Oryctolagus cuniculus: one gene and its partners. The protein of the gene in region 1 interacts with the protein of each later gene in a biochemical or structural test. Links are inferred from orthologs where the notes say so. Each region holds a gene or a part of one and is shown in the gene's direction. Other genes may lie near its edges.

What was found.
Region 2: the proteins of BCL10 (region 1) and CARD9 form a complex in vitro, tested with the Homo sapiens proteins (2 studies listed by BioGRID). The link is inferred for Oryctolagus cuniculus from reciprocal best matches to the Homo sapiens genes BCL10 and CARD9.
Region 3: the proteins of BCL10 (region 1) and IKBKB form a complex in vitro, tested with the Homo sapiens proteins (2 studies listed by BioGRID, with this or other methods). The link is inferred for Oryctolagus cuniculus from reciprocal best matches to the Homo sapiens genes BCL10 and IKBKB.

What each region holds. Positions count from the first base shown.
Region 1 is NC_091438.1:85,920,887-85,928,496, forward strand, and holds part of BCL10 (B-cell lymphoma/leukemia 10), read left to right. Parts: intron 1-3,802; coding exon 3,803-4,091; intron 4,092-6,648; coding exon 6,649-7,004; 3' UTR 7,005-7,610. UniProt on the Homo sapiens protein: Plays a key role in both adaptive and innate immune signaling by bridging CARD domain-containing proteins to immune activation.
Region 2 is NC_091432.1:236,667,808-236,674,698, forward strand, and holds the end of CARD9 (caspase recruitment domain-containing protein 9), read left to right. Parts: intron 1-1,058; coding exon 1,059-1,238; intron 1,239-1,344; coding exon 1,345-1,488; coding exon of another isoform or gene 1,489-1,553; coding exon 1,554-1,679; intron 1,680-2,734; coding exon 2,735-2,926; intron 2,927-3,379; coding exon 3,380-3,421; intron 3,422-3,511; coding exon 3,512-3,557; exon of another isoform or gene 3,558-3,854; intron 3,855-4,172; coding exon 4,173-4,276; intron 4,277-4,386; coding exon 4,387-4,647; 3' UTR 4,648-4,775; downstream 4,776-6,891. Other genes in the region: DNLZ (DNL-type zinc finger protein), read left to right, coding at 4,942-5,166, 5,551-5,690, 6,396-6,546. UniProt on the Homo sapiens protein: Adapter protein that plays a key role in innate immune response against fungi by forming signaling complexes downstream of C-type lectin receptors.
Region 3 is NC_091433.1:92,507,431-92,515,040, forward strand, and holds part of IKBKB (inhibitor of nuclear factor kappa-B kinase subunit beta), read left to right. Parts: intron 1-471; coding exon 472-623; intron 624-756; coding exon 757-818; intron 819-1,728; coding exon 1,729-1,838; intron 1,839-2,992; coding exon 2,993-3,042; intron 3,043-3,122; coding exon of another isoform or gene 3,123-3,148; coding exon 3,149-3,248; intron 3,249-3,408; coding exon 3,409-3,556; intron 3,557-5,562; coding exon 5,563-5,690; intron 5,691-7,610.

The sequences.
Region 1 (7,610 bases):
ATTGGTCTCCTTTGACCTCAGTTTTGGCTACCTCCAGTTTTCTGCAACAGTTTTCTTACTGCTGCTTATTTCTACATCTTTGAAAACTTTTCTTTTGGCTATGGGGAAATGTGTGTTTCTCTGTTTGTTATAAAAAAGTCTTCCATGAATAAGCATTTAGCTCAGCTGTTAAGACACCCACCTGGGGCCGGCGCTGTGGTGCAGTGGGTTAACACCCTGGCCTGAAGTGCTGGCATCCCATATGGGTGCCGGTTCAAGTCCCAGCTGCTCCACTTCCAATCCAGCTCTCTGCTATGGCCTGGGAAAGCACTAGAAGATGGCCCAAGTCCTTGGGTCCCTGCACCCACATGGGAGACCTGGAAGAAGCTCCTGGCTCCTGGTTTCAGATGGCACAGCTCTGGTCGTTGTGGCCAACTGGAGAGTGAACCATCGGTTAGAAGACCTCTCTCTCTCCCTCTCTCTGTCTGTCCTCTCTCTGTGTAACTCTGACTTTCAAATAAATAAATAAATCTTAAAAAAAAAAAAAAAAAAAGGCCGGTGCCACAGCTCACTAGGCTAATCCTGCGCCTTGCGGCGCCGGCACACCGAGTTCTAGTCCCGGTCGGGCCGCCGGATTCTGTCCCGGTTGCCCCTCTTCCATGCCAGCTCTCTGCTGTGGCCAGGGAGTGCAGTGGAGGATGGCCCAAGTCCTTGGGTCCTGCACCCCATGGGAGACCAGGATAAGTACCTGGCTCCTGCCATCGGATCAGCACGGTGCGCTGGCTGCAGCGTGCCAGCCACGGCAGCCATTGGAGGGTAAACCATCGACAAAAGGAAGACCTTTCTCTCTGTCTCTCTCTCTCACTGTCCACTCTGCCTGTCAAAAAAATAAATTAAAAAAAAGACACCCACCTTCCATAGCAAAGTACCTGGTTCAGTTCCAAGCTCCAGATCTTGAATCCAGCTTTCTACTAATGCAAATGCCAGGTAGCGGGTAATAGTTCAAGTTACTAGATTTCCTGCAGCTCACATGGGAGATCTGTATTGAGGTCCTGGCTCTTGGTTCCTGCCCTGGCCATTGCAAGAATCTGAGAGAGAAGACCACTGGGAGCTCTCAGTGTCTGTCTGTCTCCCTCTTTCTCCCCTCCCCCAAGTTCCTTCCCTCTCCCCCCTTTTCCCCAAATAACAACATGTTTAAAACAAAAGTTTTTTAAATCTTCCATGAGCCATGCCAGTTTTCCTTCTCTACTTCATTTCTTATCTCCCTTCTCAGTAGCCATGTGTACTCTACCCCAGAATTCTGTGCACCTCCATGCCTCTGTAAATTTCCCAGTTCTTGGAGATGGAGTTGCTTAATCTGTGTTTCCCCAGTTGACTATAATTTTTTTTTCCCTGGGCTGTATCATATTGTCTTAAAATTACTGGTTTCGTGTAATACACATTTCCCAACTTGACCAAGGCCCTTTGCATCCAGGATTCATATCTTGTCATCTAAATATAGTCAGTGCTCAGCACTTGGCATATTATAAAATGTCTGTGTGTGAGTAGATGAATGTGGGAGCTCAGTGGACCAAGAACTGCAGCAACCCTTCATCTAGCCCAGCTTCTTGCCACCACACACTGTGGTGCCTCTGAAATCTTCATCATCAATGTGAGTCAGATGAATTATCGTGGTCATAGTCTCTGACATATATTGATACTTCCCAAATACCACACTTTTCAAAGCACTTTGCATATATTAATTTATGTGTTCTGCATAACAGATGAAGAAACAGGCACAGAGGCGTGAAGTAACTTACCCGAGATCACAGGCCTAGTAAAGGGAGGTGCTAAAATAGAGTTGCTGACATCAGTTGTTAATGCAATTTATTGAGACCAACATGGATTTTCTGCTAATTAAGCTCCCTTAGGCACTTTCCATACATAGACTTGGTTTCTGTGGTATTCTTGAACTCTTCAGTTTTTCCAGAACCTGTTATTTCTCTAGGTTTCTATCTCCATACACCCTTCCATCTCCTTTCCACTAAGACAGACTCACTGACTTAGAGTTTAGCCTCTCCTACAGACCCCAAAGACAGATACAGGTCGGATTCTTTTAATTAAGATTTTTGTTTTTGTTTTATTGTTAATAATTTTCCTCTAGGGAAGTGGAATAATTAAGTACAAACGTGAGAAAGTTGTAAATTGTGAGAACATACTCCCAGTTCATAATTCTGAATTCCTTGCTAAATGGTAATTACAGTGTACAGTCCTTTTTGCTCTCGTCTTTAACCCCTGAAGGTAGCCATCCGCAGGCCTGCTTACTGCCAAGGACCCAGGCCCCTCTTCTCGGTAACGTGGTCTTGGTTTTTAGTTGTGAAGGTAAAATCAAAAGTAGGGCTAACATGGGACTCCAAATCCAATGAAGTTGGCAGATTACCAATGCCATCTTACTAGTTAAAGTGATCAGTTTAAGTTCATAACTGATCATGAAGATAGGATTAATGTCAAAGGGATCACATAAATAAGACCAAGTATCTGCTAATAATAATAGATAGAATTAAAAAGGAGGGAATGATCCAACATAAGAAGCAGGACGCACAGCAGACTCAGAATGACAAATAGCTAAACAGCACTCTGGCCTCAGAATCAGCCCTTAAAGGCATTCAGATCTGGCTAAAAAGCCCCCAGAGCATTTCAGGCATGGAAAGCCAAGACACTGTGGCAAAAAATGACCTACGTGAAAGATCTCTATGAGTGAGATCCTGGTGTGTTGCAGTTGATTTCTCAACAGTGTTGCAGTGGATTCATTTCGGAGAGGAGCAGCGTGGTGGGGGCAAGAGGCGCAGAGTCACCACACAGACCCCGGGAGTCGGGTGAAAGCAGGCTTGAGGCGAGCAGCCCGCAGACTCGTTTATTACAGTTGGTACAACATCTTATATAGCCAAGACCAGCCAGTCTGGTCAAGGGGCGGTCTATGCCCCAACCAGTCACAGCCTGTTGCCAGGCAGTTTCAAAGCCATTCCTGGGTAACTGATGCTCACTTGCCAGTGGCCACCTTGGCATGGCCTTCTCATTCCACCACATTTCCCCCTTTTCGTTTATTTTTGAGCAGTGGAAAGAAGGGGCCATCAAAGAAGGAGATACCTTTCTCAGAAGGGAAGAGAGAACTTCCACTTTGATTATGGCCTTGTCTAAGTCATGTCGAGTTTGTGGATTCAGGAGGCTTCCATAGCCTTGGCAACTCAGGACAAGAGCCTCGGGTGATCACTGACGTCACAAATAAGAGTGTCAGTTGTTAACAGGAGTCGCTGTGTACTTGCTTCCCATGTAGGGCATCTGTCCTCAATGTGTTGTACTATGAGAATTAACAGTAAAACTGGTCTTCAAACAGTACTTTATACTTTGTGTGTCTGTGTGGGTGCAAACTGTTGAAATCTTTACTTAGTATAGAATTGATCTTCTGTATATAAAGATAATTAAAAATGGATATTAATGAAGAATGAGATAGGAGAGGGAGTAGGAGGTGGGATGGGAGTGGGGGTGGGAGAGCAGGTATAGGGGGAAGAACAGCTATAATCCAAAAGTTGTACTTACGAAATTTATATTTATTAAATAAAAGCTTTATATTTATAAAAGAGCAGGGCTGAACCAGGGAGGAATGTGGGGGACCTGCATGGATAACCTTGGACCTTCAGCTTAATTAGCTTGGGTTTCAGAGGGCCTGAGCCTCCCGACTTCAGAACAGCACCTTCCATCAGAAAAGGTTCCTAACAATCAGTCACCTGTGTGATTTCCTTAGGTTTGAGAAAACAACACTGAAGCATGTATTATGTCTTTTTAGGCTCTAGAAAATTTGCGTGTATACCTGTGTGAAAAAATCATTGCTGAGAGACATTTTGATCATCTACGTGCCAAAAAAATACTCAGTAGAGAAGACACTGAAGAAATTTCTTGTCGAACATCAAGTAGAAAGAGGGCTGGAAAACTGTTAGACTACTTACAAGAAAACCCCAAAGGACTAGACACCCTCGTTGAATCTATTCGACGAGAAAAAACACAGAACTTCCTGATACAGAAGATCACAGATGAAGTGCTGAAACTTAGAAATATCAAACTAGAACATCTGAAAGGTAAGATATGTTAAGTTTCTCAGGATTAAGTGTAATAATGCTTTGTGGAGTTTTGTTTTTTTTGTTTTTTTGTTTTTTTTAATATTTCTCTTTATTTGGAAAACAGAGTTACAGAGAGAGAGAGAGAGAAGGGAGAGACAGAACCAGAGACAGGTCCCATCTGCTGGTTCACTCCTCAAATGGCTGCAATGACCAGGGCTGGATCAGGCCGAAGCCAGGATCTTCTTCCAGGTCTCCTGTGTAGGTGCAGGGGCCAAAAGACTTGCCATCGTCCACTGCTTTCCCTGGCACATTAGCTGGGAACTGGATTGGAAGTGGAGCAGCCACAACTTAAACTAGTGCCATCATGAGATGCCAGTGTTGCAGGGCAACCCGTGGCTTTAACCTGCTGTGCAATAGCACCTGCCACAAAAATGCTTTGTTAAAATGCAAAAGAAGAGTCCTGCATTTTGGTACAAAGGGTTAAGCTGTCACCTGCAACACTGGCATCCCATAAGGGTGCTGGATTTGCATCCCGGCTGCTCCACTTCAAATCTAGCTCCCTGCTAATTTTGCAGCAGAGAATGACCCAAGTGCTTGGGCCCCCATCACTTGTGTGGGAGACTCTAGATAGAGTTCCAGGCTCCTGGCTTCCGTCTAGCCCAGCCTCTGCCATTGTGGCCATTTGGGGAATAAACCAGCAGATGAAAGATCTTCCTCTCTTCATTCTGCCTTAAAATAAAAAATCTTTGGTTTTTTTTTTTTTTTTTTTTTTTTTTTTTTTTTACAGGCAGAGTGGACAGTGAGAGAGAGAGAAAGGTCTTCCCTCAATGGCCGCTGCGGCCGGCGCACCATGCTGATCCGAAGCCAGGAGCCAAGTGCTTCCTCCTGGTCTCCCGTGCGGGTGCAGGGCCCAAGCACTTGGGCCATCCTCCACTGCACTCCTGGACCACAGCAGAGAGCTGGACTGGAAGAGGGCAACCAGGACAGAATCTGGTGCCCTGACCAGGACTAGAACCTGGTGTGCCGGTGCTGCAGGTGGAGGATTAGCCTAGTGAGCCGCGGCACCAGCCAATAAAAAATTTTTAAAAAAGAATGCAAACCAAAAAATTAGAAGTGATATTTTGCTTCTAAAAGTTTAAGCTTATGGATAGGCATTTAGTGCAGCAGTTAAGATGCTGCTTGGGGCCAGCACCGTGACTCACTAGGCTAATCTTCTGCCTGCAGTGCTGGCACCCCAGGTTCTAGTCCCGGTCAGGGCGCCGGATATTGTCCTGGTTGCTCCTCTTCCGGTCCAGCTCTCTGCTGTGGCCCGGGAAGGCAATGGAGGATGGCCCAAGTACTTGGACCCCTGCACCCACACGGGAGACCAGGAGGAGGCACCTGGTTCCTGGCTTCAGATCGGCACAGTGCGCTGGCTGTAGTGGCAATTTGGGGAGTGAACCAATGGCAAAGGAAGACCTTTCTCTCTGTCTCTGTCTCTCTCATTGCCTAACTCTGCCTGTCAAAAATAAATAAATAAAAAAAAATAAAAAAAGGATGCTGCTTGGGACACCTGCATCCCATATTGGATGCCTGGTTTTAGTGCCAGCTACACTTCCGATTCCAGCTTCCTGCTAATGTGTACCCTGGGTCCTGCCTCCTGTCCTTGCTGGATAGGACACATTGGAAGGTACCCCTTGTGAGCCATATATAAGAAGATAATTTATGTAGTGTGGGACAGAAATAATGAATGCAAGGCAGGCGTGGGCAGCGTATTAAGCCACCACTTGGGACACATGCACCCTATATTAGAGTGCTGGTTTATGTCCCAGCTGCTCTGCTCCAATCCAGCTTCTTGCCAATGCATCCTGGGAGGCAGCAAATGATGGCTCAAGTGCTTCAGCCCCTGCCACCCTTGTGGGGGCCTGGATGGAGTTCCAGGCTCCTGGCTTTGGCCTAGCCCAAGTCTGACTTGTAGGCATCTGGGAAGTGAACCAGGAAATAGAAGATCTCTGTCTTCCTATCTTTCTCTCTCTCTCTCTCTCTCTCTCTCTCTCTGTCTCTGTCTCTCTCTTTCTCACTCTGCCTTTCAAGTAGATGAAAATAAACAAAAAACAGATACTGAATGTTGTGAAGTAGGAAAGTAGTGGGAAAAGCTACATGTAAGTGGACTTCATGGATTTTTCATGTTTTACCTAAAATTTGTCAACTCAGGAGTTTCTGTGCCTTGTGGACAGTTAGGCTGATTATTTGCTAAGCATAACAGAGGGGTATGGATACCTTATTATTTTATGGAAAATTTGGGGAGGCTGCTTTATTTTTTCTGGGTCCTTCAGTGGTTGAGTATGTAAGTACACATGAAATGTGAATTTCATGTCTTTTAGCTCCCTTAAGACTATTTTCTTTTAGGGAAAATGTAAATAAAAGTCCACTTCATGACTGTTAGATCTGAAATGGATTATGACAGAATATATAAGTTGCTGTTTAAAATTTGACTGTGTGGCAGCTGGCTGGTAATCTTTACAAAGTTACAAAGGTGGGGGTAGATGCCAGTTCTTGAGACTTTCCTATTTACACTTGAATGATTTAATTATAGGACTCAAATGTAGCAGCTGTGAGCCTTTCCCTGGTGGAGCCACGAACAACTTATCTAGATCCAATTCAGATGAGAGTACTTTCTCCGAGAAACGGAGAGCGTCCACCGCCATGTACCATCCGGAAGGAGAATCCAGCACGGCTCCCTTTTTCTCTACTGATTCTTCTCTGAATTTGCCTATTCTAGAAGTAGGCAGAACTGAAAATACCATCTTCTCTTCAACCACACTTCCCAGACCTGGGGACCCTGGAGCTCCTCCTTTGCCACCGGAGCTGCAATTAGAAGAGCAAGGAACTTGCGCGAACTCCAGCGAGATGTTTCTTCCCTTACGGTCACGCGCTCTTTCACGGCAATGACAGCATACTGCCTTTAGTGTGTTCAGTAACAACAAAAAATGTTTTAAAGGATATGAATCTTTTTATAAACTTCTACAGTGATTTATTTACATTTGATATGTGTCTTTCAAAAATGCAATTTTAAGCATACTTTGTAAATAGAATATTTTAGAGCAAAAGAAGTATACTTTCAGGATAGCTAAATGTCAGTCTTGTGGATCATGTACTTTTCAGTATTTTCTGTACTTTTCCCTTTTAGGTGCTTTAGTGTTTGCGGATTTTTCATGTTTAAAACTAATTTTAATGAGGACCATTTCTCTATTTGAAGATAGATTCTTAGGCTGCAAATTTTCTTTGCATTTTTTTGCTAGGAATTTTCTAATGGTCCTTTCTAACCATTGAGCAGTAAATTTTCAGCATTAAGCAGTTCCTGTCTGGAAATGAAGCCAATCACTGAGGGAAAAATCGCCAATATACTGAAAAGAATCTCTTTTCCTCTCAGTTGGTCTTACAAGCATGTACAAGGTCTCCTTATATTACCTGTGGTGGAGTTTCAGCCACCAAAAGCCTCAGCGGTTTACCTAAATTCATTTCATATTAGCCTTACTAATTAATGCTATTTTCTTA
Region 2 (6,891 bases), on another chromosome or scaffold:
GCAGGGGCCAGGAGCCGGGCCTGGGACCCCACTGCCCGGCCTGGGGTGGGCCTGGAGGCAGGGGCCAGGAGCCGGGCCTGGGACCCCACTGCCTGGCCTGGGGTGGGCCTGGGACCCCATTGTCCAGCCTGGGGTGGGCCTGGGACCCCACTGCCCGGCCTGGGGTGGGCCTGGGGGGCAGGGGCCAGGAGCCGGGCCTGGGACCCCACTGCCCGGCCTGGGGTGGGCCTGGAGGCAGGGGCCAGGAGCCGGGCCTGGGACCCCACTGCCTGGCCTGGGGTGGGCCTGGGACCCCACTGTCCAGCCTGGGGTGGGCCTGGGACCAAATTGCCCGGCCTGGGGTGGGCCTTGGGGGCAGGGGCCAGGAGCCGGGCCTGGGACCCCACTGCCTGGCCTGGGGGTGGGGGCTGCAGGCCTGGGACCCCACTGCCTGGCGTGGGGGTGGGGGCTGCAGGCCTGGGACCCCACTGCCTGGCCTGGGGTGGGCCTGGGGGGCAGGGGTCAGGAGCCGGGCCTGGAACCCCACTGCCTGGCCTGGGGGTGGGGGCTGCAGGCCTGGGACCCCACTGCCTGGCGTGGGGGTGGGGGCTGCAGGCCTAGGACCCCGCTGCCCGGCCTGGGGTGGGCCTGGTGGGCAGGGGTCGAGGGCCACAGGCTGGGTGCCCCACTGCCCGGCTTGGGGTGGGCCTTGGGGGCAGGGGCCAGGAGCCGGGCCTGGGACCCCACTGCCTGGCCTGGGGGGTGGGGGCTGCAGGCCTGGGACCCCACTGCCTGGCCTGGGTGGACTTGGGGGGACAGGGGCTATGAACCAGGCATGGGACCCCGTTGCCCAGTCTGGGGGGTGGGGAATGCAGGCCTAGGACCCCGCTGCCCGGCCTGGGGTGGGCCTGGTGGGCAGGGGTCGAGGGCCACAGGCTGGTTGCCCCACTGCCTGGCTTGGGGGACGGCGGGGGCCGCAAGCCATGCTGGGGACCCTTCTGCCCGGCCCGGGGGTGGGGAACGCAGGCCTGGGGCCCGGCTGCTGGCCCGGGGGCGGGCTGACCGGCAGCCGCGTGCAGGTGGACGGGCTCCGGCACAGCCTCCTGCGGGCGGAGGAGGACTGCACGGTGGAGCGCAAGCACACGCTGCGGCTGCGGCGCGCCATGGAGCAGCGGCCGAGCCAGGAGCTGCTGTGGGAGCTGCAGCAGCAGAAGGCCCAGCTGGAGGCGCGCGTGCAGGACCTGGAGGCCGCGGCGCAGGTGGGGGCGCCGGGCGCCGGGCGGGCGGGGGCGGGTGGGCGCCGGGCGCCGGGCGGGCGGGGGCGGGCGGGGGCGGAGCCGCGCGGGACGGCCGCTCTGTGTCCAGCAGGGGACGCGGGAGCGGAGCAGCCCCTACGTCCAGGTGCTGGAGGAGGAGTGGCGGCAGGTGCTGCGTGACCACCAGGAGCAGGCCGGCACCGTCTTCTCCCTGCGCAAGGAGCTGCGCCAGGCCGAGGCCCTCCGCGCCCGGGTAGGAGGCGGGGCCCTGGGGGCCGGGCGCCCTCCCCGCGGGGCGCTGAGCGGCCGTCCCCACAGTGCGCGGAGGAGAAGGAGGTGTTGGACCTGCAGTGCCAGGCCCTGCGCAAGGACGCCCGGCTCTACAAGGAGCGCATGGAGGCCGTGCTGCAGCAGATGGAGGAGGTGGCCCTGGAGCGGGACCAGGTGTGTGGGGGCCCAGTGCCCTCCCCGCTCTCGGGGTCTCCCTCGGTGCGCCCCTCGGCCACGATGCACCCTCAGGGAGCTGCTCTAACACAGAAACCAGCACCTGGGGGGGGGGCCCTGGGGGCGGAGGAGGACTTGCACACACACACACACACACACAAAGAAGAAGAGCGGCCGGGACTCGGAGGCAGGCAGCGGCAGGGCTGGTAGGCGGGACCTCTGGCTGCCTCTGGGTGGCCCAATAGGGACAAAAATGGATCAAGTCCCGGCCGCGGGGGCGCTGATGGGCCCAGACTCTGCCCTGCCCCTGCCCGTGGCCCTGTTCCCTCTGTGTGTCGGTGTCCCACGGCTGGCCGGCCCCCAGTGGGGACAGGCGGGCGTCTCACACAGCACAGACCATCATGCTCCTTGTTTTTGAGATTTTATCTCTTTGAGAGGTAGAGAGAGAGAGAGAGGTAGAGAGGTCTTCCATCTGCTGGTTCACTGCCCAGATGGCCGCAATGGCCAGAGCTGCATTGATCCGAAGCCAGGAGCCTCCTCCAGGTCTCCCACGCGGGTGCAGGGCCCAAGGCCTTGGTCCATCCTCCACTGCTTTCCCAGGCCACATCACAGAGCTGGATCGCAAGTGGAGCAGCCGGGACAAGAACCGGCGCCCATGTGGGATGCCGCCCTGCAGGCTTTAACCGCTGCGCCACAGTGCCAGTTCTTAAGCTTTGCTTATTTGCGGGCAGTGGCAGCTCTTCCATCTGGTTCGCCCCCACTGCCTGCAACACCCGGGGCTGGGCCAGGCTGAGGCCAGCCCCAGGGGCTCCGTCCGGGTCTCCCCCACAGCGGGCAGGGCCCAGTACCCCCAGGTGCGTTAGCGGGAAGCTGGATCAGGAGCAGAGGCGGGGCCTGGTCCCAGGCGCTCCGACCCGGGCAGCGGCCTCACGCAGGGCGCCGCAGTTCCCCAGACGCAGACCCAAGTCCACGGGCAACAGCGCGGGCCCGGCCCACGTGGCCGGCTCGTCGCAGAGCCGTGTCGGAGGCTCAGGGCCCACGCGTGTGTCCCGCAGGCCATCGCCACGCGGGGGCAGCTGCACTCCCAGCACGCGTGCAGCCTGCAGGAGAAGGACGCCCTGCGCAAGCAGCTGCGGGAGCTGCGGGAGAGAGCGGACGAGCTGCAGGTGCAGCTGCTGCAGTGCCAGAGCCGCCTGCTGGCCGCCGAGGGCAGGCTCCAGGGGCAGCAGCCGGACACGCTCGCCCTGGTGGGCCCCGGGACACGGGGGGGGGGGGAGGTGGGCCCCAGGACACGGGGGGGGGTGGGCCTCAGGGACCCCAGGACACGGGGCAGGGAGGGGAGGGGAGGTGTGGTGGGCCCCCAGGACACGGGGCGGGGGGAGGTGCTGGCCGCTGAGGGCAGGCTCCAGGGGCAGGAGCCGGACACGCTCGCCCTGGTGGGCCCCCAGGACACGGGGGGGGGGGGAGGGGAGGTGTGGTGGGCCCCCAGGACTCGGGAGGGGAGGTGATGGCTGCCGAGGGCAGGCTCCAGGGGCAGGAGCCGGACACGCTCGTCCTGGTGGGCCCGGGGACCCCAGGACACGGTGGGGGGGGAGGTGTGGTGGGACCCCAGGCGGGGGGGGAGGGCCCATTCTGGCTGGGGGCTGCAGGAGGCGCAGCCTCCCCTCGCCTGCTGACCGGCCCCTGTCCTGTGGCTGCAGAGCTGGGACCTGGAAGACGGCTCGCCCAGGGACTCGGGGGAGGTGAGCAGGGCCCCTCCCCACACCAACCAGGAAAGGGGGCCGGGCCGGGTCTGGGGAGGGGCAGCGGTGACCTCGCCCTCTCATCGGAAGCTGCAGCTCCCCGGGGACCCGGAGGACGCCCGGCCGTGCGACAAAGGTGAGGAGGGCGCCGTGCCCGGCCCACACCTGGTCCCTGCCCGCACGGGAGAGAGGCTGGGCACAGGGACTGTGACCTGGACAGCCGCTGCGCGGGGCCGGGCTGGGGCCCCCACCCTAACCCAGGGAGGACACGGCAGGCCTGTGGCCCCCAGCCTGCCCTCAGCCAGGAGGCGGTGACAGGAGCCCGTGGGCGGGGCCTGGGCGTTGATTGGGCAGAGCGGGATCCGTCAGCAGCCTGGAGGCGGGGCTGGGCGGCAGGAGGACTGGCCCGCGTGCGTGCGTGCGTGCGGTTCAGGTGGGCGGTGGGCCCAGTGCGCGGTAGGGGGGTCCCTGGGGGAGCCAGACCGACTTCCTCAGCGTCAAACGCGACCCAGCCTCTGGGCAGGAGCAAAAGCGGAAGCTGCAAATGGAGAAGTGTGGGTGGGCGGGCACTGGCCTCGAGGCCACGGAGCCCCGCGTGGCCGAGGCGGGCGGGACCCAGGTCCAGCTCAGCTCTGCCCAGCGGTGGCAGGTGCGAGCCGTCCGCGGCCCTGCAGGCGCGCACACGTGTGTGTGCCCAGGACACGGCCGAGGCCTGGCCACCGGCGCCGAGTGGGCTCTGGGCCGCCCCCAGGGGCCGTGGCGTCCACAGCTCTGCCGGACCCACGACACGGGACTCCGCTCGCAGGTGGCCTGGGGGTGACCGAGCCGCACAAGGAGATTTCACCGAGCCCCCACGTAAGGCCAGGGGCGGTCCCCCACCCCGGGAGCCCCCAGCCCAGAGCCCCCTGGACGGCTGGGGAGGGGCGCGGGAGCCTCGGCCGGCGCTGAGCCCGCCCCTTCCCCAGGACGCGGGCCTGGGCAGCGAGCCCCCGGAGAAGGAGCGGCGGCGGCTCAAGGAGAGCTTCGAGAACTACCGCAGGTGCGCGCAGGGCTGGGGCGGCGCTGAGCGCGCGCCTGCCCACCGCGGCCCGCCCACCTGCGGCCCTGCCCACCCGCGTCTCCGCAGGAAGCGCGCGCTCAGGAAGACGCAGGACAGCTGGCGGCACGGGGAGGTGGACCGGGACAACACGACGGGCAGCGACAACACGGACACCGAGGGCTCCTAGCGGCCCCGGGACACACCCCCGCGGGGACCCCCCTGGAGCCCGGGGCTCCCGCCGTGGGGGCGGGGGGTCAGCCGTTGTACCCTCCGCCCGAGCACAGCAGGCGGGCAATAAAAAGGCACCTAGAACGACCCGCGTCCGCGTCCTCGCGCGCGTGTCCCGCGCCGAGCCCGGCGTGCGGGGCCCGGGAGGCCGGCGCAGCGCCGCGAGCCGCCGCGAGGGGGCAGCAGAGCGCGGCACCGGAAGTCGGCGCCGCCACTTCCGCCCGCCCCAAGATGGCGGCGGCGTGACCGCGGCATGCTGAGGGCGGCGCTGGGGCGCGCTGCGGGGCTGCTGGGTCGCCCGCGGCCCCAGGGACCCGGCCCGAGGCGGCTGTGGGGCCGCGGGGCCCGCCCGGCGGTTGCGGGGAGTCGGCGGGCCGGGGGCTGGGCCTGGGGCTGGCGGCACTCGAGCTCGGAGCCGGGGCCCCAGGCGGCGGGGCGCGTGCAAGCGGCGCACTACCAGCTCGTCTACACCTGCAAGGTGGACTTCCGGGAGGGGCGGGGCCGCGCGCGCGGTGGGTGGGGCTGCCCTGGGGGCGGAGCCTCCCTGAAGGACACGGCTCGCAGTGGGTGGGGCTGCACTCGGGGGCGGCTCCTCGGGGGCGTGGCCGGCTCCCAGTGGGTGGGGCTGCCCTGGGGGCGGAGCCTCCTGGAAGGACTCGGCTCGCAGTGGGTGGGGCTGCCCTGGGGCGGAGCCTCTGAGGGGCGTGGCGGGGCCGCCCTGGGGGCGGAGCCTCCTGTGGAGGACGGGCCGGCTGGGGGGGCGGATCCTCAGGGGCGTGGCCGGGCTCCCGGTGGGTGGGCTGCCCTGGGGGCGGAGCCTCCTGCTGGGACGCGGCTCCAGTGGGTGGGCCTCTCGCCCTAGGTGTGCGGCACTCGCTCCTCCAAGCGTATCTCCAAGCTGGCCTACCACCAGGGCGTGGTCATCGTGACCTGCCCCGGCTGCCGGAACCACCACATCATCGCCGACAACCTGGGCTGGTTCTCGGACCTGGGCGGGCAGAGGTGAGACCGGTCTTCAGTGCTTGTTTTATCGGGGCGAGGGTGTGGCCGGCAGGTTAATCCGCGCCACGGCCCGCACGGCGCCCACTCCAGCCCAGGCCCTGCACCCGCGTGGGCCCTGGTGCCGCTCCTGGCCCCCGGCTTCCGGGTGGCGCAGACCTGGCTGGGTGGCATCCCGGGGGGATGGAGGGCCCTTCTTCCGTCTCTGAGTTGCAAACATCAGCCTCACCGGTATGGAGGCGTGTCAGCTCCCATCTGCTGGTCACTCCCCAGATGACCACCACGGCCGGGCCGGGCCGGGCAGAAGCCGCTCCTGCTGCCTCCCAGGGCGCACCTGAGTGGGAGGCCTGACCCAGGGCCCTCCCCCGCCCCCCGTGGGACGCAGGTGCCCCGCAGCCAGCTGTGTCCGCACACCTGCCTGTGCGCGCGCCCCCGTGTGGCAGCCCCAGGTCTCGCCTCCGCCGGCCGCCGCCTTGGCGTGGAGCCCTCTAGCCCTCTGGCACCAGGGACGGGCAGGTGTGTGCCCGGCGGGCGCACCTGGGTGCTGAGCTGTCTGTGCCCGGGACAGGGCGGCAGGAGCAGCAGGTGCAGAACCGCGGTGTGTGCCCGGCCCCTGGGCTGGTCACAGCTGGGGGTCTCCACTTCTGGGCTCTGGGGGGCCGGGGCCGGGGCAGCGAGGGCCAGGGGAGTAAGCCGCCCCGTTTTCAGGAACGTCGAGGAGATCCTGGCCGCCCGAGGGGAGCAGGTGCGCCGGGCAGCTGGCGAGGGGACCCTGGAGCTGACCCCCGCTTCCCCGGCCGCTCCAGAGCGCGGGGAGGACGAGGACGCCGCCCCGCCCGGCAGGACAGAGCTGAGCTGACCCCGCCCCCCTGCTGTGGGCTCTCTGGCTCCTCCCCTTTTCTGCCAATAAACGACATCAGCTCCTCGTGCTGGGCCAGTGGCTGCTTCTCCTGCGCCAGGACTCCCATGAGCCCCCGGTGCTGTGCAGGGCGCACGTGCAGCCACAGGGCCCCGGCCTCCCCGCCGCCCCTCCTGGGAGTCAGCGGGCGGAGCCCAGGTGGGCGGGGCTCCGGGTGGTCTCGGCCACAGGCCAAGCGAGCGAGCCGGGAGGCTGTGGAGGCTTCGGGGCTCAGGCAGCGGGCCATGGGTGCGGTGGGCGCGGTGCCCGGCCCGGCCGGGGGCTCTCGACGCGCTCCTGTGGGCG
Region 3 (7,610 bases), on another chromosome or scaffold:
GTTGAGACAACGAGGGAGACACTGGCTTGGAAGGGCGGCGAGTGGCTGGGTGGGCTGGAGCCTCTTCTAGCCCTGATGAGGTGCATGTGGTTGGCGCGTGGAGCCCAGGGCAACGCTGCGGGCTGGGCTGGCGACCGCGGACAGAATCTGGAACCCAGAGAGCTTGTTGCAGTCTGGGTTAGCAACACTCCCCTAGTTATTATTACCAAAAACGTACCCACTCTGCGTGGCCACAGCTAGTGTAAGCTAGATTTGTGTCCCTTTGTGTGCGCTGGCCTGCTTCCCGTTTTGGTTCAGAACTTCATGAATTGCTAAGGACTAGAAGAGTGTCCTTATGGTTATTATGTAATAATAATAATAATAGTGATGGCAGGGACCTCCCTTGATGTTTGAGGGCTTCTGCCACTATGCAGGAAATGGCATTTGGGTCCCCAGGGTGCTTCAAGGTCCCGTGTCTTGCGGCCCCTGCAGGATGAACCTCCTCCGTAATAACAGCTGCCTCTCCAAGATGAAGAATTCCATGGCTTCCATATCCCAGCAGCTCAAGGCCAAGTTGGACTTCTTTAAAACCAGCATCCAGATCGACCTGGAGAAGTATAGCGAGCAAACCGAGTTCGGGATCAGTGAGTGTGCCCTTGGCAGTGAGCCCTTGGCCGTGCTTCTCACGGGGTTTCTTTTGTCCTGTGATAGTAGAGTTGCTTGTTTCTGTTTTGGTTTTATGGTATTTTTCTTTTCTTTTTCACTTTTTTTTTCCAGCATCAGATAAGCTGCTGCTGGCCTGGAGGGAAATGGAACAGGCCGTGGAGCTGTGTGGGCGGGTAGGAGACTCTCGGGTGTCTGTGTTGCCAAGGGCATGAGGCTCGCTGCCGCCTTCTCCTGCTTTCGCATCAAATGCCAGGTTGATCTTCAGGGCAGAAACCGCGTTTTCTTTGCTGTGTTCTTTGACTTTCACCAAACTCGCTGGAAGGGAGCTCCGAGAGAGAGAGAGAGAGAATAGGCAGTAAAGGGAGCCCTGCTGTAGCTCCTCACAGAGCTATACGAATGGGCAGAGAAGATGCAGGTTTAACTGAGGAGCGAGGCTTTGAGCGCCCTCGGAGAAAAGCCAAGACCTCCTGGTTGAATGACCAGCACGCACTAGGCCAAAGGCTTTTCCCTGCAGTGCCAATCAGGGGCCGCCAAAAGATAGTGCCCACGAAGGCGAGGGAGGAAGCGTGAGCACAGGAACCCGGCACAGCTTTGTCACGGCTCTCCCGTGCACTCCTGGTGCCTGCTTTCAGGAACCTGTACTGACGGGGTGGGTGCTGGCCAGACAGTCCTTTATTTCACCCGGCCGTGGCCCTGGGACCCGTCATCCGTGCACACCACACGGATGCACGGATTCAGAGACGCGAAGGCCGTGCGTATTCAGTATCCTTCAGATACCAGACCCTGTGCCTGATCTCGCACGCCCTGATCTCACGTCGCCCCTGTAGTGGCCCTAGGAGACGTGTGTTTTAGGGATGAGGGAGCCGTACCTGAGGGTTGCCCGCAGTTGCACAGCTAGGGAGAGGTAGACGGAGAGCGGAACCCAGGCGCCATGACTCCAAGGTGACTCCGGGGTCTGCGTCCTGCCCAGCCAGTCGGTGGAGAGTCTTGTGTGGGTCTGGCCCCCACCCTGCCGCCCCAGCAAACGTGCGTCTCGGGCCGCTCTGATGCTGCCGGGTGGCGTCAGCACAGCTCTTCCCTCAGGAGGACGAAGTGAAGCATCTTGTGGAGCGGATGATGGCCCTGCAGACCGACATCGTGGACCTGCAGAGGAGCCCCATGGGCCGGAAGCAGGGGGGCACGCTGGACGACTTGTGAGTGCCCGCACACCTTCCCTCGGCTCGGGAGGCTCTGTGGGCCCGTCCCACCTGTGCCTGCGAGGAGCCCAGGCAGGCGCCGGCCCTCTGAGCCTTCGATTCCACATTGCTGAGTAGCAGAAAGGGCGCCGTGCCGTCACAGGGGCGTGAGGCCCTGTCCACGCCCACGCTGAGAGGCGGCTCTGCGTCCACACCGCGGCTCACACAGGGTGGCTCAACGAGCGGAACGCAGAACAGAAGGCAGGCCTGGGAGCTGTTCATCTGGGCCCGAGGAGGGGCAGAGGAACCAGGTGGACCAGTCCTCCATGGGGGAAGTGACACGGAGGCCACTCCACTGTGCGCAGTCAGGGGGAGCTGGGCAGGGAGGGCAGCAGCGTTTGTCACATTTAGGTCAAGAAGTCAGTGCCAGAAGCTCAGTTATTTGTCCTGGGTTTTCTGTAGTTATTTAATCCTCTTCTCTTCCAGTGTTCAAAGGATAACCCTTTTTGAGAGTGTCAATCAGTTTCGGCCCTGTTAAGGGACAGGGATGGGACTCCGGGTCCCCCCACCCCCTGGGCTTGAGTGTTCCCAGGGGAGCCATGTTCCGGGGCCCAGGCCCAGCGGTGGCACCTGGGTCTCTGTTGAGGAATGGTAGATCGCCAGGAAGACCTAGGTTTGCGCCTGGCCTCTGGCTCTAGCTCCTGCTAATGCAGACCCAGTGATGGTTCAAGTAGTTGGGTCCCTGTCACCCTAATGGAAAAACTGGATTGCATTCCCAGCTCCGGCCTGGCACCCGCTCAGCCCTGGCCATCGTGGGTGGTCGGAGGGTGAGCCCTGAGCTGGGGGACCTCCCTGTTTCTGTCTCCAAGGCTGCAGAACCTTTTTTCTGCCCAGGGACACTTGGCTGTTGAGAACATCATTTGCAGGCCACGCACATTTATCAACTGATAGCTCGCTGTAGATTGAGTGGCTTCCCAGTCCTGCCTGCAGGGCCAGACCAGATGATTCTGTGGGCCGTGTAAGGCCGGCAAAGCTGGACAGTCCCCGCCCTGTTGTCTCCAAAACAAACAGAAACAGCACCCTGCCAGCCCTGTTCCTAGCAGTCAGCAGTCATGATGGGTGAGCGCGAGCATTTGACCTGGGGTCTGAACGGAGCTTCTTTTACGTTGCAGAGAGGAGCAAGCCAGGGAGCTTTACAGGCGGCTGCGAGAAAAACCACGAGGTGAGTGGGGCTCCACGTCTGCCCAGGGCAGCCTTGGTGTGGCTGCTGAGACGTGGCGCTCTCTGCTGGCCGCCCTGCAGAACCGCACCTGTGTCCCTGTCCTCAGACCAGCGCACGGACGGCGACAGCCAGGAGATGGTGCGGCTGCTGCTGCAGGCCATCCAAGGCTTTGAGAAGAAAGTGCGGGTGATTTACACGCAGCTCAGGTACGGCCCACTCTGGCCCCTGGAGAGGGTGGGGAGCGGCCCGGCCCAGCCCGGCCCGGCCCTGGTCTGCTCAGCCGCCAGAGAAGCAAGTGTTGGCGTCCGCCAGTCAGCCGCTTCGCAGTTCAACGCCGCTGCGCTTTGGCATGGTTCTCCTTTGCAGCAAGACCGTGGTCTGCAAGCAGAAGGCGCTGGAGCTGCTGCCCAAGGTGGAGGAGGTGGTGAGCTTGATGAACGAGGACGAGAAGACCGTGGTTCGGCTGCAGGAGAAGCGGCAGAAGGAGCTGTGGAACCTCCTGAAGATTGCCTGTGTGAGTGAGGCCTGGCCCGGACCTTGACCCGCTGGCCTCTTAGGCCCTGCCCCTCCCACCGTGCCACGGGCCCCATCCCGCAGGGGAGGCATAGAGCCACCGCAGAACCCCCGGCAGCTGCGTCTGGTAGCTGATAGCCAGCGCGGGGCTCACAACAGAAGTGACGCCTGGGGTGCTAGCGCCACGGCGAGGCAGCCAGTCCCCTCTCGCCTTGTGCACCCTCCGGTGGTGCAGGCCTGCCGTGGCTCGTGGCCACTTCACTCCAGTCCCTGTCTGTCTGCCCACGTCTGTGTCCGTGTCTCCCTCTGCATGTCTCTCACAAGAACACGAGACATTGGATTTGGGTCCCGCCCGAACAGTCCAGAGTGTCCTTAACGTGATTACATGTGCAAAGACCCTTTTTCCAGGGGTTAGGACGTGGGCGTATCTTTCATAGGCCACCCATTCAGGCCACTATAATAGTGGGTGCCAGTGCACCCTGGCTGATCCTCACCTGCACCTGCAGTATCGCAGCCCATGCTTTCTGTGTCCCTCATCTGTGTAGCCGCCACGCCACTGAGTGCAGCTCGGGGAGGAGGTGGACAGTGAAGGAGAGAAAGGAGCAGAGGCAGGCAGAGTCCTGGAAGCCAGAGCTGAGGGAGAGCGCGCCCCGTCCTGCAAGGCTGTGGGCGGCGGGAGAGGGTGGCAGGGGCGCACGGGCTACCCGGCAGCAGCCTTCTGGGCCGAGGGGAGGAGAGGGAGCTAGCTGCGTATGGTGGGCACAGGTGCGGGGGCAGTGTCAGAGGGGCAGTGATTCACACTCCTGAGAAGGAAGGCTTATGCAGGTCACGCGGGAGCAGTGGCTGGCCTGGGGTAGGGGTGAGTGGCATTTCCTCCTGTGGGAAAGGAGAGATGATGAGGTGGAGCATCAGAGAAAGAGAGGGAAGGCGAGGTTCACACAGGTGACGGCTTGGTCTGCCACCTGCATGCACACGGCATTCACTGAATGCTGACCGTGTGCCCAGCAGCGTGGAGAACGGGAGGTGCCGGGGAAAGGCATGGCGCCGGTCCTCGGGAGTTCCTGGCCAGTGAGGGGCACAGCAAGGACAAGAGTGAGCCCAGGGCGGGGCAGGGCAGGAAGCAGCTCCGGCAGGCGTGGGAGCCGCGCGGATGCAGCGGAGGGAGCAACAAGCAAGGTAGCCGGCGCGTGTGGTTTCAGCTGAAGGAGGAGGACGTGCGCAAGCCCCGGGCCGGGATTGGCGGGCTGGGTGGTGCTGGGGAGAGGCTGTCCTTGAGGAGACAGCAATGGTGACTATTCCAGTATTGTAATAAATCTTTTACTACAAAGTAGGCTTTTTAAAAAATGTATTTATTTATTTGAAAGGCAGAGAGATCTTCTATCCACTGGTTTTCTCCCCAAATGGCTACAATGGCCAGGCTTTGGCCAAGCCACAGCCAGGAGCCAGGAGCCTCCTCCAGGTCTCCCATGTGGGTGCAGGGGCCTAAGCATGTGTGCCGTCCCCTACTGCTTTCCCAGGCCACAGCAGAGAGCTGGATGGGAAGTGGAGCAGCCGGGACTCAAACTGGCGCCCATATGGGATGCCGGCACTGCAAGTGGAGGCTTAGCCTACTGTGCCACAGTGCCAGTCCCAGACACCTTGATTTTCTTGTCAGCTGTGCTGAACATGGTGCCTTCCCAGAGAGCCTTGGAACCTTTTACGTGTCTCAGTCTTAGAAAAGAGAACAAAACACCTTCCTTTTCTTTTCTTCTAAGAGTTTAGCAGGAATCAAACTAATGAGATAAAGCCCGCAAGTAGCACGTCTCCCTGTTTCGGATCCTCTCCCAGTGAGTGTTCCTGTCTAGAAAGAAACTCTTTAGAGGCCTGTGTGAAAGACCCGCTGGCGTGGGGCCAGGGACGGCGGGACCAGCAGTGGTGCCGTGCGAAGGTGCTGGGGTCGGAAGGCACACCTGGCCTCATCACTTGGCTCCAAGATGCTGTTGACTTTCTTTTCGGTTTCGTCCCTAGAGCAAGGTCCGCGGTCCTGTCAGCGGAAGTCCGGACAGCATGAACGCGTCTCGGCTCAGCCACCCTGGTCAGCTCATGTCTCAGCCTTCCCCTGCCTCCGACAGCCTGCCTGAGCCGGTCAAGAAGAGGTAAGCCGTGGTGAAAGGGGGTGCGGCTGGAGACTGTGGGCGTGGGGAGGCTGATGACCTGCAGACGCTCTGTGTTTGCTCTAGACAAGGGTGCTGCAAAACGTCGTGCAAAAGGATTAAAGTTTATTTTGGCGCAAAAAAAAAAAGTTGAAATCCATGCCTCGTTTTCTCATAAAACAACATTTTCAGGAATTTTTTGGGAAAACCACTCAAATACATGGATTTCAGCATTTTGGGGGTATAAAAATAAACATCTTTTCTTTCCATTTTCCACAAATGCTTCAAAGTACCATGTGCGTAGGCCCCAAATAGTCCCTCACCAGCTTCCTTGTGCCTCATTGCTTACCCAGAACGTGGTGAGTGCCAGCCGCCTCCAGAGCAGCTTCCCTCCGGGGGCGCCCTCCCCACACCACGGTCCCCCCCCCCCCCCCCGCCAGTCACCGTCTTCTCACCTCTCCCTGAGTTACCCAGCTGCTCGGTGCCTCTCGTCCCCTCTTCGGTCCCCCTGCCTGATCCAGCGCACTGCAGGTGGACAGAACGGGCCAGGCCCTCCCTGCAGGGCTCCCCATGTCCGGCTTCCTGTTCCTCGCTGCCGCCAAGCCCTCTCCTGCCAGATCAGTCTTCCCCGAATCGCAGCCGAGTCATCTCGTGGGCAGCAGCTCATTCTCACTCCCCTCCCCATCTCAGAGATCGGGTCTGGACTTCCTCGGGCGGTGGTGGCCACCTCCACGTGGATCTGCGCACCGTTCTGCTCGCCCCTGTGCTAGTCCGCTTCTTAGTCCCACCCAGACCCGCAGTCCTGTGGGAATGGCCCTTCTCCCATCCCACCCGGGCTCCTTGGAATCACAAGCCCTGGCTGAGGCCCAGCCAGTCTTCCTTGGAATCACAAGCTCTGGCTGAGGCCCAGCAAGTCTGCGTTTGGTGCGCCCCCTGGTCGATTCTGACGCACGTGAAGCCTGGGACGCAGTACTCCAGCTCAGCCACAGGTGTCCCTCCCCTCACCATGCCACGTCTGCGTCTCTCTGCATCCACCACACTGGAAGCCTTGGGCACCCGGGCACATGCTAGCGCTCTCTTCCTATGGGGCTTTCATTCGGCATCTCTTGTATGCCAGACACTGGGTGCTGGAGACGTTAAAATCTATTCCTGCAGGCGAATCTCTGGGAGTAGGAAGTAGATGAACGAGTCCCTCAGGCAGGCGGAGAGGGTGGTGGGCAGTGCCTGATGATAGGCGGAAGGTCTCCTTCAGGGAGGATGAAAATGTCCTGAAACAAGATATGCTGATAGCTGCGTGATTTTGTGAATATGCTAAAGCCACTGAATTGTACATTTTAAGCAGGTGAGCTTTGTGGTATACAAATGATTATCTCAGGCTGTTCTTAAAAATCTGTTTCTGTCCTTGGAGTGTTTGTAGCCTGTTTTGGTACTTAATCCTACAGGACGACAGATTGTGGTTTTGTTTTTGAAAGGCATAGAGACCTAGAGAGATCTCCCCACACTGGTTCACTCCCCAAATGCCGGTAACAGCAAGTGTCCCAAGTGGTACCGTAAACGTGGTGCCAAATGCCCGCCCTGACGTGACCGTAGGTTCTTACTCTCCTCGGCCTCTGTGAGCCCCTGGGGAAGAGCAAGCGGGCGTGGCCTCCCTTGTTGCCCTCTGGAGCTGGCACTGAGCTGTGAGCTGGCGGCCTGTGGACGGCGTTTAGCGGACGCGCTCCAGGCTCCTTGGAATGCTGTATTTGGCAGAGTGAGGACATACTCAGCATTGAGGGCCCTAAAGGCCTGGGAGTGCAGAGGCGATGGTCTGAGAAGGAAGCATTACTTCCTGTACTCTCCTCTTCCCGCTGGGGCCCGTTCCTGAGCTTACTCAGGGAGGTCGCATCAGGCGGAATCACGTCCCAGAGCTTGGTTTTCAGCAGG